4 linked regions of the Saccharomyces cerevisiae S288C genome follow. The gene in region 3 interacts genetically with the main gene of each other region. Each region holds a gene or a part of one and is shown on either strand. Other genes may lie near its edges. The genes, in order: TPN1, LPX1, SNO1 and ACB1.

Region 1 (4,444 bases), on a different chromosome or scaffold from region 3:
ATCTTATTTCCTGTTTATGCTAATTTTTACGCAATTAGCGTGCCTAAGTACAAAAAAATGTTTTGTAAAAAGTATGAAAAAAATTCTAATCTTCGTATATCTTTCTTTCCTGTGTTTATACTTGGAAGAAGCGAAGTATTTTATCCTTGAGTGTGTCTTATTTTCTCTTCCCTTTATTTGCTACTAACCAAGATGGGAGATATCGCTTTTTCGAAGGACGCCTTTGGAATCCGCTGATCTTATTGGTGGACAGTCAGCTGACAGAAAACTTAGATCGTGACAGCAAATTAAACGATTTGTGCTACTGTTCAAAGTGTCAGTATATCACTCGATGATTTCAATTGTCCACCAGGCTTAGATTTTCATGTGAAAAGATAATGTGTACAAAAAAATATCCTCCCTGAGCGTAATTTAACATACCATGAATCTACCTGCCAATATTATCTAAACTAAAGTTTGCCGCTGCACCGTAGTTTTAATATATACTTATGTCATTTCAATTAACGACCAAATTTACGTAGCTCTAAGTATCTACAAGGAGGGTATACAACACCTGAGAACGCCATACTTAACCACATTGCGACATCACCACCATATTCACCAAATTTGGCAGCAATTGGGCCAATCCAATAGGCTTGCGCCATACCAACTACCACACCAGCAACTCCTACAATAAACGCAAATGTTGCTGCATAACCGTGCGTTAAAACCTCATAATCTTCCCATTTGTCCCAATTGTAACGATGTTTAGTCACCTTATGTTTTCTTTTTAACAAATGGATATTAGTAACTGCATCTTTCTCCACTTCTTTTGAAGATCCAACAAGTTCCGGTCCATTTATTTCTCCTGTAACTGTAGGAAACTCTTTGGTGTACAAATGTAAGAAAAACCTTCTGAATACTAAATTCTCTTCGAATAATAAGATAAAGTACATGCTAATCCAGTAGCCTATCATTGGTAGGAAATTTCCCAAAATAGTACTAAAATGATTACGACCTATTAATGCGCATACCAAACAAATTATAGTACAAACAATAGACCAGAACCAGCGAGGGATTTTTGCACAAAACACACTAGAAAGTTGGATGGAGAATGCTGCCGAATACGTATTGATGATGTTGTTGGATACCAAACTGAATACCAGTACTACCACGCAGAACTTTCCGAAGCCGTTCCAACGCTGAAAACCTGCCCAAAGTAGACCACCCATTCCATGGGAATCGTACTCGACTGACCAAGGCTTATACGACATGGCAACAGAAGCTAGTAAGAGACCTAAGATTCCGACGAAACAGGTAGGCAAAAATGTTCCAAAAAACGTTAGGCAAAAAATTTGAATATATGGTGTATCTTCTGGGAACAATATATAATAGTCTGCTGTAATAGACCCCCAAGTAGCCGTAATACTATAGCATAATGAAAAAAAACTCATCCAGTTGCCCTTTCGGGTGGAAGAGTCCAAATTTCCCTTTGAAACGTATGCATTGACGAAGCTGTATTTATCACTTGATGAAATGTACAGTAGTAAAAATGCTGTCAGGACGGGTACGGATAAGTAAGTTTCCACTTTAATGACTTGTTTGATACCGAAAATGGCAACTAAAAAGGAGCATACGGTCACTATGACAATCCCTACCCATAGGGGTACTTTATCATTAGAAATAGCAGCTAACATTTCACCCCCAACCACGGAATTAACCACAGACCAACCCATGACACCGATAATGGAAGCTAATGCAACTAATTTAACAAACCACCATCCGAACAGGTATCTAGCTGTTACCATCTGTCTGCAACCGGACTGCGGTCCCATGATCGAGCAATAGGCAGCAATTAAGCAACCAATTGTTACCGATATTAAACTGGAGGCTACGGATTCTCTAAAGCTTAAACCGAAAAGCAGAGGGCCTAATAAAAACGACGACATGGAAGACAAACCACCTGTGGCACTCAACCATAGCCCCGCGACATGCAAAAATTGTTTCTTTGATGTTCCTCGTTCATAGGGAGATATCCTCTGAATACCGGTAGACTCTACTCCCATTGCGTCCACTTTCTTAGAAAGCCATGCCGCCCTGTTGATAATTCTTCTCAAAATGGACGGACTTGAGTTGGCCTTTTCTGTGGCTATGTTTAAAGAAGAAGCTGCGGTTCCTTCTTCGTAAAATTCTATTACATCAGTAGTATGCTTTGTATGATCTTCTTTGCGCTTTGTTGTGTCCATGTTGTCCCTATTCATCTATGATCGAAGTTTTTCAAGTCCTGTTCTTTGATAAATACTCTATAAAGCTAATAATATTCAACAGTAATATTTTTATACTGAGAACCTCAACATCTGTTCTCTTTTTTAATGGCCTTCTCTTAGACACCATCAAAGCAGCCTGACGCAGAAAATTTCAGGTGAGATAAGGTGCGGCGAACAAATCCGAAATTTACTTACACGCAAGTACGAGTCATACACCTACGGGGCACTGTACTACAATCCATTGTCGAAACAAAAACGGCACTTAATGTTGACTTCTTTTTGAAGTCAAATGCATACGAAAACTCGCACTGCTCTTTTTTCTTGGTGTGTTGACGTATATGTATATATAGGTATGTTAACATAAGGTTCTTACGTCTCTTACTATCAAACTACACGGGAGAAATGCTCATCGCTTGCGGCTTCCCCAGACACTACCCGTAAGATTCTTGTCAATGCCAGTTCACAACTTTGCTCAAAAACATCCTTTGTCGCACTACCCAAATGCGGAGTAATTGAAGTAAGTCTATCAGAAGATCTGATTTTTTCATCTATTTCTGGTTCTTTATTAAAGACGTCTAAACCGAGATGGTTGATTCGTCCCGTTACCAAGGCGTCAGAAACAGCCCGCAAGTCCAAAATTTTACCTCTTCCCAAGTTGACTAAAATTAGGCCTGGATTGCAGTGTTCCAAAAATTTCCTGTTGATTAAATGTTCTGTTTGTGGAGTTCCCGGCAATGTGACCACGATTGCATGAAACTGGTATAGTTTTGCATATATTGTTTCATCTAGCAAATGAAATTTCCAGCTTTCGTTTTGACTCATTGTGCAATCTTCGCTTCTTTTGCAATAATGTATTTCCATTCCTAGCCCGTATTGCAACTTGTAGGCTACTTGCTTTCCAATACTTCCTAAACCAAGAATTAAGCATTTCTTTCCTCTTGGTGATTCAGCAAACATATTCCCCAGTTCATGGCCAAAAGCAAATCCGCTCTTTTCTGCAGCTTTCGCCCTTGCAGTTAATGTATTTCCAGTTTCTCTACTAAGTTTTTGGTAATAGGAGAACTTTCTAAAGCCCTCCAGAATGTGCCACAAGGCACAATCTGCCACATCATTACCGACTTGATGAAGCTTTAAATCGTCTATCAATTTTTCATTTTCATCGTCTTGGTAGTTGTATAATCGAATTTCATGCTTGCGTAATGTATCCAGATCCCATCCGTCGTAACCTCTTGAGCAAAGCACGATACATTTTAAATTTTTCCTTGGAAATGACTTGTGTTCGATGATACTTCGAGTCATCCCACCGATTTTTTTGAATGCCGGAAACCCAGCATAAATGGCACATATTTTGTCTTGTTCATGCCTTTCTAAAAAGTTAAGAAATGCTTCTTTGGTGTCCAGCTGATAGCGCAAGATCCTGAACTTCTCTTTGAATGCCTTGGAATTAAGTGTGGCTGATGTTTCGCACGGATCTGCGATGAAAAGAATAGTAGGCTTTCCAGTCGTTGCAGGAGAATCGCACATTTTTTGTATGCTCTTTTCCTTCTAAATCTGCTGTCAACCCATTGTCGAGTGAAGTTATAAAAGCACAGCTATTTCTATATTCCTTTTACGACCGCCATTACACACGTTCATTGAGGCAAACTTTCCTCCTTCGCGCGTGCGTTTCCCAAGGGTAGTAGTAAGAGCTTACGGAACAGCCCGAAAGGCTGTAAAAGTTTAATATACTTACTGTTCTTGAAATTCTGTCTATATACTTGACTATTTAAAGTTACTATCTTTGGATTTGAACCTTATAAAAAAAAAAAAAAAAGGTACATGCATATTTTCCCTTACAATTTCGAACTCTTAATATTCAATTCTGAGTCCTTTCTGATGAGATCTTGATTGTAAAATTCTTCGTAAATACTTAAAGGCTTATGCAGGTCATCGATGGTAGTGTTCACAGCTAGGTTCTTATTCAATTTGTTGAAAAGATATTTGCCATTTTCTCTTACTTCTATAATATCAGCGTCAACCATCGCCGCTAATAAATCTTTCTTCAAATCTACTATATTTTCGATACCGCAGCAAAGACGAACCAAATCTTCAGGAAAATCTCTCTCTTTCCTTAATTCGGGATCAATGGAAGCATGGGACATTTTGCAAGGCATAGATAGAAGCGAATTTACACACCCGAAAGATACCGTCACAGCCCA
Region 2 (3,622 bases), on a different chromosome or scaffold from region 3:
CAGCCAATTTCGGGCGCTGTGGCAGTAAACAGAGCAACTATATAGGCATTTTCGTGAGGTGGTGCCAAGATGTTTTCAAAACTTGAGTCCTTCAGAGGTATAATTTTCTTGGGAGATTTATTAGCCAGCTTTAGTAGTCTGTTGCTGGACATTGCCAGGGCAGGATGGGTTGACACGCCGCAGAAGAAAACCAGCGAGACCAAAAACAGCCAATTCATGTTTGGGAGGAAGAGTTTGATGCGGACGCGTGTGGTTCAGTGTTCGAAGAGCGTGTGCCTGGTATTGTGTTGCTCCTACGTTAAAGTTCCTTAATGTTTTTCTTCTAAGTCAATTGAAGTACTTGTTACCTGTCTGGCGGAAAGACGGGTACACATTCGTCCTCGACGATATAGTTGCATCGCGCTTGCACGGAAAACAAAAGAAAAAGAAACCACGCCAGTGCCATAGATTGCGTCAGTTAATTATTATTGAATAATATATGTAATAGTGTACACAAGTGTTTACAGTTTTTGTTTAGTCGTTTTAACCAAAGCTTCATTCTTGAACGAGTCGAAAGCCCGGTCAAACATCACCGCTCTTTCTTCAAGGGTCAATTGCGGAATGTGTGAGGACTGCAGCGGGGAGGTAAGGACAAACTCGTGGATGTGGTGATTAATCCTCTCGATCACCAGGTCCGGAGCCTCAACGTTGACCAAGTGGGAGCCGCCGGGAATGACATCGAGATGGTAGTTCTGTAGAGTTTTCTGCAAAAACAGCTGATTTTGCGGAGGACACCAGTTGGAGCGCGCGCCCACAATGTGGATAGTCCGCTTCCTCACAAACTTCACATTGCTGATCAGGAAAGGCGCAAAAGTCTGCATGTTCATGTAGCAGAGGAGATTTTGAGCCTGCTCCATCTTCGTGCGAACGGGTCCACCATCTTCATCGTCTCCAGAGGCTTTTGTCCTCTCAAAATCGATGATGTTTTGCAGGATTTGGCTGTGCGCATTGGTAAAAAAGGAACCGTTCCTCATATATTTTACATATTCGGACTCGTTAGCGAAATGGTCGCACGTCTTTAAACGTAGGGAGTTATAAAGATTTTCTGGGATCTGCGGAGAATCGGGCGGAAGCCCTGGCCTCCCGGCGCCGATGGCTTTCCGTGTGATTACTACAGGCTCGATCAAGATGAGCAAATGAAACAGATTGGGCTGCAGGACGTCACACGCAAGAGCCTGGAACCCGCCCATCGAGTGGCCGATGACTACGTTTAGTGCCGGGTGGCTGTCAATACTGCCCAACTCGCATGTGGCAATCTTGAGCACGTCGCGGGCCCCGTCGATCCAGTTGAAATTGGTGCCGAGTCTGCCGCGGTTGCGTACCGCAGAATCACCGTGGTTAACCTGGTCGATCAACAAAACCTTGTCGATGGCATAATTGCCCTCCGCATCGGCGGCTACCAGACGCGGCAAATAGTACTCCCATACCACCTTACTCATGCCGCTGCCGTGCAAAAACACAAGGTTAAGCCTAGTGGCAGTGCGAGAGCGGCGTTGCCGCTCTGCGCTAGTGTACACATCGTATGTGAGCTCGAGGCGATCTGTCGCACACAGCGTCGACTGCGGTGCGCGCGGCCAGCTAGCGCTACAAGTTTTCGTTTCTTTCTTGAACCTGTTCTGTTCCATTTTAGCCGCGGATGTTGATCGGCGGATACGCAGAGATAAGCAGAGTACGCACTAGTGAGCTTTTTTAGCACGCACATTACGCACTTTATATATATGCTAAAGGGTGCAGCAGCGGGCGCGGCTGCACTAACTCCGAGATTGCGGAGAAAAAACTCGTACTACCACATTAAGACGTCTCCACTTCGGTATCCGACTCGGGCTCCGTTTCGTCCGTGGGTTCTCCAGCAGATGTCGCCGGCACGGGTCGGTGTTGTTGCTTCTTGGTAGGCGACGACAATAGCATCAGTGTTTCGACAGCCGTGGCCTCCTCCCGTGGTGGGTGGCCTCCGAGCGCCTGAAGAAACGCTGTATGCGCGGAAGTACCCGCGTCTGCACTATCTGGAAATCTGTTGTGATAGCGACGTGGCGGCGTCTGCACTGCTGGAGCAAGCTCCGTCTCCAGCTCGGGAAGTGTCTTGTCCGTCCATCCATTTTGCAGCTTGACTAACGCGTAATTGAGCCTGGTGCGCAAAGTATGTGATATTTCGCGGATGGGCCGCTCGCCCGTAGACCGACGCGCAGCCGTCGGAGGTGACCTCAAACGCGGCGACGGCGACAGAAACACCTCCGACCGTCTTGACTTGGGCGTTGTCGGTGGCAACAAAGGCATACTAACGTGTCCGTCGTACTTCTTTTGATTTTCATTTTCTTCTTCATTTTCGTCGTCCTCACTCTCACTTTCGTGTCCGTCGTCGTTATGGTCATATACACGTCCATGTGCGGTTATGCCGACACGACGCTTATTGACGGGCGACATGAATATACCCTGAAGACTCGTTGTCGACGGCCTTCTTCTCGATTTAGTGATGCTTTTCGTTATGCCTGGTGGTGACGGCGGCGATGGTGTTCCAAAGCCATTTTTGAGACGTACTGGCGTGCTCAATAGAGTGGTTGGCCCAGGTCGCTGCTGATGCTCGTTGTTTACATGTGTATCTGGGTTCTGTACCTGCTCTTGTTCTTGTTCTTGTTCTTGTTCATCGCTAGTCCTGCTTCTCTTCGGCGTTCTCAAACTCATATTCTTCAATGTCTCTACTATTTTTCGTTGCTATTAATATCTGGTTGTGCTTTCTTCCATCAGGTTCTTTGCCTTGTTTTGCCTTTGTTTTGTTTTGTTTTGTTTTGTTTTTTTTATTTTTTTCGTTCTGCTCTTGAAGTTTTCGCTTCCCTTTTCCCCCTTCCCTTTAGCACCAGAAGTCATGAAACAATTAGTAAATCAAGAATTATCATTAAGGCAGCGCGAGGAATTATATAAAACAAAAAAAAATAAAAAAATAAAAAAAAAAAAAAATAAAATTCGAAAACAATAGGAGACAAAAGACATCATAAACAGCACAAGGAAGACGGTTCTGTTTCGTTGCTATGTCTAATACCTTGCCAGTAACAGAATTTCTTTTATCCAAATACTACGAACTTTCCAACACTCCTGCCACAGACTCATCATCGCTCTTCAAATGGTTATACCACAAGACTCTCTCCCGTAAACAGCTGCTCATATCCGATTTGTCTTCCCAGAAAAAACACGCCATCTCCTACGATCAATGGAATGACATAGCGTCGCGATTAGACGACTTAACGGGACTTTCCGAATGGAAAACAATCGACGAGTCCTCGTTGTATAACTATAAGCTGCTGCAAGACTTGACCATCCGTATGCGCCATTTGAGAACCACTCACGACTACCACCGCCTGCTTTATCTGATTAGAACTAAGTGGGTCCGTAATCTTGGCAACATGAATAACGTTAATCTTTACAGGCACTCGCATACCGGCACAAAACAAATTATACATGACTACCTAGAAGAGTCTCAAGCAGTGCTCACCGCGCTGATCCATCAGTCAAATATGAACGATCACTATCTCCTCGGTATTTTGCAACAGACGAGAAGAAACATAGGGCGCACGGCTCTCGTGCTTAGCGG
Region 3 (3,319 bases):
GAGAAATTATATGAGTTGCTAATAAATTTTCATGGGTTCAGAGACAATCCTGGTAAAACGATTAGTTACATAGTGAAACGTAGGATAAATGAAATACGCCTATCACGCATGAATCAAATTTCCAGAACCGGACTAGCTGACTTTACAAGATGGGACAACTTGCAAAAGCTTGTATTAAGTAGAGTAGCTTACATCGACCTGAATAGCATTGTCTTTCCCAAAAATTTTAAATCTCTGACAATGAAACGTGTAAGTAAAATCAAGTGGTGGAACATCGAGGAAAATATACTAAAGGAACTAAAAGTCGATAAGAGAACTTTTAAATCGTTGTACATAAAGGAAGATGATAGTAAATTCACAAAATTTTTTAATTTACGACACACAAGAATAAAAGAGCTTGACAAAAGTGAAATTAATCAAATAACATACCTTCGATGTCAAGCAATAGTTTGGCTATCTTTTCGGACTTTGAACCATATCAAGCTACAAAATGTATCTGAAGTTTTTAACAATATCATCGTACCTAGAGCATTGTTCGATAGTAAACGAGTAGAGATTTATCGATGTGAAAAAATCTCTCAGGTTTTGGTAATATAAAAATGTGGAAAACCGGCGGTATTTTAATTAGAAACAAACTGTCTGATAAACCAATCATGAAATCTTGTATCACTGTCAGCAAGCTCTGGATGAAAAGAAGTCACAAGGATATTATGATTTTGCGTTGCAGCTACAACCACATCCTTTCCATTCACTGGCAATTCATATAAACTTTTAACCGCGATAGGATCAAGAATTCTCTCGATCACGGGTGCGCGAATAAATGTAGCAGGAAAATTATCACAGCCAGGTATGAAATTGGAAAAATCACACTTTTGTGTAAAAGATTGAGCTTGTCTTCCAAATGCGTTTCTTCTCACGTCGACCTTCAACACACCTAAAGTCTTTACTAGGGCACTTTCGTTTTCTAATTGCGCGCTTAAAAAGATGAGACCAGCACAAGTACCCCAAACTACCTTTTCCGGATTATGAACAAATTCGTATAAACAAGGATATAAGCCTGTTCTTTGAGCGATGAGGGACATCGACGTAGATTCTCCTCCGGGAATAATTAAGGCGTCGCACTGGGCTAGATCCTCAGGAGTTTTTACAGTTTTGATTTCTATCTTTATTCCGTAGTCGTTTTCAGCCAAACACCTTTTTAAATGGTTGGTATGCTCCAAAAAGGCACCTTGCAACGCCAAAACCCCAATTACTTTCATCGACTTTCCGGACATTGTACTGTGGGTTTTGTGCATACTTTAAGATATGGTTTTTCTTTCTATTTAACGAAATGAAATAATAAGAAAAAAAAACCTGGTGGCATCAACGTGATTTTTGGAAGAAAGAATAAAACATTCAAAGAGTTCGTGACCAGTTATTGCTGATAAATGCCGTTTACTGACTCAGTTGGAATTTATGGCACTAGTTGGAATAGCTCATCATGACATAATGACTCAGCCGACAAGGGTAAGGGTTGAAAGCCGGGCTTTTTCACTACTTTTCAGGTAGCGCCGCCATTTCTTCATGACTCTGACACACTCTGCCGCACCGTTAGTTACGTCTGTAATTCTGGCTGCGAAGTACCATTTTCGATATAAATAGGAGGACGCTGAGAGCTATGGACGAAGTCTATGGTATTGTTGGAGAAACCTTTAGGAACGACTAGCAAATATACACAGTACTAATATTCAGTTAATTATCACGATGACTGGAGAAGACTTTAAGATCAAGAGTGGTCTCGCCCAAATGTTAAAAGGTGGCGTTATTATGGATGTTGTTACTCCAGAGCAGGCAAAAATAGCTGAAAAATCTGGTGCATGTGCGGTAATGGCATTAGAATCCATCCCAGCAGATATGCGTAAGTCAGGAAAGGTTTGCCGCATGTCAGATCCGAAGATGATTAAGGACATCATGAACTCCGTTTCCATTCCCGTCATGGCTAAGGTAAGGATTGGCCATTTTGTTGAAGCTCAAATTATTGAGGCATTGGAAGTTGACTATATTGACGAAAGTGAAGTCTTGACTCCTGCTGATTGGACTCACCACATTGAAAAGGACAAATTCAAAGTTCCATTTGTTTGTGGCGCTAAAGACTTAGGTGAAGCTTTGAGAAGAATTAATGAAGGCGCCGCTATGATTCGTACCAAGGGTGAAGCTGGAACGGGCGATGTCTCTGAAGCCGTCAAGCATATAAGGAGAATTACAGAGGAGATAAAGGCGTGCCAACAATTGAAGAGCGAAGATGACATTGCAAAAGTTGCTGAGGAAATGAGGGTACCAGTTTCTTTGCTGAAAGATGTTTTAGAAAAAGGTAAGTTGCCAGTAGTAAATTTTGCTGCAGGTGGTGTAGCAACGCCAGCCGATGCCGCATTGTTAATGCAGTTGGGTTGTGATGGTGTGTTTGTTGGCTCAGGAATTTTTAAATCATCTAATCCTGTAAGGTTGGCCACTGCAGTAGTAGAGGCTACCACTCACTTTGACAATCCCAGCAAATTGTTGGAAGTATCTAGTGACTTAGGAGAGTTAATGGGTGGTGTATCAATCGAATCTATTAGTCATGCTTCCAATGGAGTAAGACTTTCCGAAATTGGGTGGTGATTTCTTTGAACAGGTATTTTGAGCATTATAACACTTTTTCCCCCCTCAACTTTGTATTACTCGGTACACATTGTAAAATGATCTAATTATTAGATAAGCTTATGTATGCTGGATATTATTTACTAGAATACTTGATTGGGGTTCCCTTTTAGTTTGTTAGACAATCCCTCATACGAAAGATCTCCTAACTTTTCCAATTGATCATTTACATAGTTTTTATAAGAAAACTCGTCATTATTCAACAGTACCTCAGGGTCAAATATGATACCCTTTCCATGCAACCTCCATTTGTTAGTCCACTCGATAGCCGTTGATTTTTCATTTTGGCTTTTATTCACTTGAAGCCTTCTTAAAACATCATATATATCATTTGTGGGAGAATTGGTGCTTCCAGGGTAAAGCTCTGTTCTTCCATCGTTCAAATTTTGCAAGTTCATTAGGTATAAAAGGTAATCCGCTTGAAATATTGGATCTACAAGGTTATTTTTAACACTACCACACAACGCCAGTCCTAGCATTCTATTATGATCTGAAACGCGACCGGGAACACCGATTCCTGGAGTATCTATCAAGTATATTTCATTTCTTGATTCCGTATTCCGTGAAGTTACTCTAATAACCTCGCTTGTGGCTCTAGTAACACCAGCTTCTGCACCAGTTTTGGCTACTTTCTTAAATTTTC
Region 4 (2,917 bases), on a different chromosome or scaffold from region 3:
ATCTCACCTTCAGCATCTTTTTCCCCATTTTTTTACTTGTAGTATAGATTGTTGTTTACGTGCACGATTAGCTTCTTCAAACCAGGAAACAGCAATGTATACATTGGCAACTTGGCCGAGTGGTTAAGGCGAAAGATTAGAAATCTTTTGGGCTTTGCCCGCGCAGGTTCGAGTCCTGCAGTTGTCGTTATTTTTGAGTTTTCCGATGTCTATTTTGTGATAATAGTATTAGAAGCAGTACGTGAAATAGTGCTAATACTATCTGTTATTCTTTTTGAATAGAATATGATTATATGAATTAAATACAATTTCAACAAATAGGTTTAGAAGGTGCATTAATATGGAATTTTTTCAATTTTTGTTCACATTCTTTTTCATTTACATAAATGAAGTCCGAAATCCGTTGTTGGCTTTTGAAATTTCAAAGCGTTAGTGATTTGGCCCAGAAAATATAAATATAGCAAAAACATCTAGATACAAGATTGAAATAAACTATGTTCAACTAATTTGGGCGCGACCTGTGATACCTGGGATAGAAATCCTTAATCTATGAGTAACAGGTAACTTTGGGACAACAGCACCAAAGGTTGTCAAAAAACAATTCCATGAAAACAATTTCAAATCATAGTGAGCATAATGAGTACTAACTAAGAATAGGGCGATCGGGACACTAATCAAAAATTTTCTTGAAGGAGTATATAAAGTCTCGTCGTCAATTTGTTCCCACATCGTCAAGTTGTCATAAGCACCACCATTGAAATCGAAAGGGGTACCCTTAATCAGATGGAACATGACATAGGACCCAATAACATATGTCATATTAGTCAGAGTCCACGACCATTCTGTGGTAACACCAGGAAATAAATTATAAAATAGTTTCAGCAGTATGATAATGACCACATGAATAATCCAAGCGCCGCGTTGGTCTACCCAAGTAGCATTCATATTTGGTAGAAGTTGCTGGTCATTTTCATCTTCAAAAGTCTCCGGTTCCACATGTGAAATTATGCTGGAAGAACGCCTTCTTCTATGATCTTTCACAGGTTCCGTCGTTTTAATTGATGAAGATGCACTGCCTGCAGAAGGAAACGGCTTAAGGTCCGTTTGATTTCGACTATACGAGGTAGAAGCCGCCTCAGCAGTTCCTTGATAATCTAATTCGGTCATTAACTAAATGGATAAAAATGCAATGAAATACAAAATAAGAATAACTCTGCTTTTTAGAGAATATGTGGTAAACAACAAAAGGTAGTTAGGGAAATTCAAAAAGGGAATATCAAGCAAAGGAAGATGTTATCGATCAGTGAATTTTTCTTGTTTCGTGAATCCACTGAAATATCTGCATCTGAAGGCGAGATCTCATGATAGTTTTCTAAGGTCTTAAAGTGAAAACATAGGCATTTCACTATACCCGATAGTTGTCGGGTAACGGCTTTGAGTCTACGATGGTTTATATACCGCAGCTCCGTTAGCAAAGGAATAGAGGAAACTCGAAACAGGTAGTCTAGCAATTTGTGTAGGGACTAAACATATTTCGACTATTCTCTATAATCCGTTCCTAAACTACATGCCACAAACTCTCGTATTGAAACATTCCATTAAAAAATGACCGTCGGAAGAGATTACGGCCTTGGTGCCTGAAGACAGGTGGCGCTGGCGGCCCTACGCGCTCTCTGACACGTCCGCAAACTCAACAGCTCCAGGCCAACTCCCCAATGACCGCCATATATATAGCTAGCTTGGATCAATTGGTCTGTCTCGGAAGCAAGTACGTTATGTACATCATTTCACTGTGTGAAGCAAAAGAAGGAAGACTAAAACTCTAAAATTAGTTAAACTAGTGTTTTCAGCAAAATGGTTTCCCAATTATTCGAAGAAAAAGCTAAAGCCGTCAACGAGCTACCAACGAAGCCCTCCACTGATGAATTATTAGAATTGTATGCTCTGTACAAGCAAGCCACTGTAGGTGACAACGACAAGGAAAAGCCTGGTATTTTCAACATGAAGGACCGCTACAAGTGGGAAGCCTGGGAAAACTTAAAAGGTAAATCCCAGGAAGATGCCGAAAAGGAATACATTGCCCTTGTTGATCAACTGATTGCCAAGTACTCCTCTTAGAAAAGGGGTATACTAGCTCCATGTAAGGAGTTTTGGCCTAGCTTTCCTTGTTACTATTCTATTATTATATTTTATTGGCTGCAAAAACGTGACTTATGTACATTTATAAATGCCCATATCCCTTACTACTCTCCCTGGGGACAAGGCGTAATAACTGTTAATAAATGCATATACTCTGTTCTATTTAAATTCTCGGGGTTCGCTGGAATATTGAATCACAATTAGGGAGATTCGCATGTAATTTACGCCGAGAATGATACTGATTTGTGTTGAATATGACAAGGTTTAGCGGAAACACGCTCTTGAAATTTTTAAAGATATTTTCATGATTTATATACAGACTGATCTGTATACATTTTTATATTGTCATACATAGGCTTTAATAACTACTCAGTTTTTTTTGATGGCGGCAGAAGCAGCGCTTTCATTGCTCTACACAAATCCGCAATTCAAGTGACAGACGCCAAACTAGTGGTACAGTACACTTACTGAAGCGCACCATGTATACCCTGATCTACATCTAGAGCTTGTTCAGTTTTTCTTTATGCTTTTAATTACGCCAGGAAGAAAACCGTTCTTACGTGGTGGATGAAATAGGAGAATTCGGGTTTCTGGGAAAACTTAAAATTTCTTGTTGGAAAAGTAGAAAGAAAAAGAAAAGTTTGCCTTCTGAGAAAATGCTACATATGGTAGAGACATCAATCGATTGCTCAACACGCGTTAAAAAGGGGAAAGTGATTGCCACTGTGATCACTTTAAATCATTTCTTCGTTCTCATTCTTTTCGTCTAATTTTCTTC

What was found.
Region 1: mutations in SNO1 (region 3) and TPN1 are lethal when combined (synthetic lethality), as found in Saccharomyces cerevisiae (2 studies listed by BioGRID, with this or other methods).
Region 2: mutations in SNO1 (region 3) and LPX1 together harm fitness more than expected from each alone (negative genetic interaction), as found in Saccharomyces cerevisiae (2 studies listed by BioGRID).
Region 4: mutations in SNO1 (region 3) and ACB1 together harm fitness more than expected from each alone (negative genetic interaction), as found in Saccharomyces cerevisiae (2 studies listed by BioGRID).

Annotation. Positions count from the first base shown.
Region 1 is NC_001139.9:150,537-154,980, forward strand, and holds TPN1 (Tpn1p), read right to left. Parts: upstream 2,241-4,444; coding exon 501-2,240; downstream 1-500. Other genes in the region: YGL185C (putative hydroxyacid dehydrogenase), read right to left, coding at 2,631-3,770; cystathionine beta-lyase STR3, read right to left, coding at 4,079-4,444. UniProt on the Saccharomyces cerevisiae protein: Thiamine-regulated, high affinity import carrier of pyridoxine, pyridoxal and pyridoxamine.
Region 2 is NC_001147.6:478,629-482,250, reverse strand, and holds LPX1 (triglyceride lipase), read right to left. Parts: upstream 1,665-3,622; coding exon 501-1,664; downstream 1-500. Other genes in the region: dolichyl-diphosphooligosaccharide--protein glycotransferase OST3, read right to left, coding at 1-218; transcriptional repressor WHI5, read right to left, coding at 1,831-2,718; TGL5 (triacylglycerol lipase), read left to right, coding at 3,063-3,622. UniProt on the Saccharomyces cerevisiae protein: Has acyl esterase, lipase and phospholipase A activity.
Region 3 is NC_001145.3:456,665-459,983, forward strand, and holds SNO1 (putative pyridoxal 5'-phosphate synthase), read right to left. Parts: upstream 1,296-3,319; coding exon 621-1,295; downstream 1-620. Other genes in the region: CTF13 (Ctf13p), read left to right, coding at 1-597; pyridoxine biosynthesis protein SNZ1, read left to right, coding at 1,744-2,637; putative GTPase MTG1, read right to left, coding at 2,760-3,319. UniProt on the Saccharomyces cerevisiae protein: Catalyzes the hydrolysis of glutamine to glutamate and ammonia as part of the biosynthesis of pyridoxal 5'-phosphate. The resulting ammonia molecule is channeled to the active site of a SNZ isoform.
Region 4 is NC_001139.9:558,932-561,848, reverse strand, and holds ACB1 (long-chain fatty acid transporter ACB1), read left to right. Parts: upstream 1-1,854; coding exon 1,855-2,118; downstream 2,119-2,917. Other genes in the region: sphingolipid homeostasis protein ORM1, read right to left, coding at 499-1,167. UniProt on the Saccharomyces cerevisiae protein: Binds medium- and long-chain acyl-CoA esters with very high affinity and may function as an intracellular carrier of acyl-CoA esters. Enhances the in vitro activity of the ceramide synthase complex.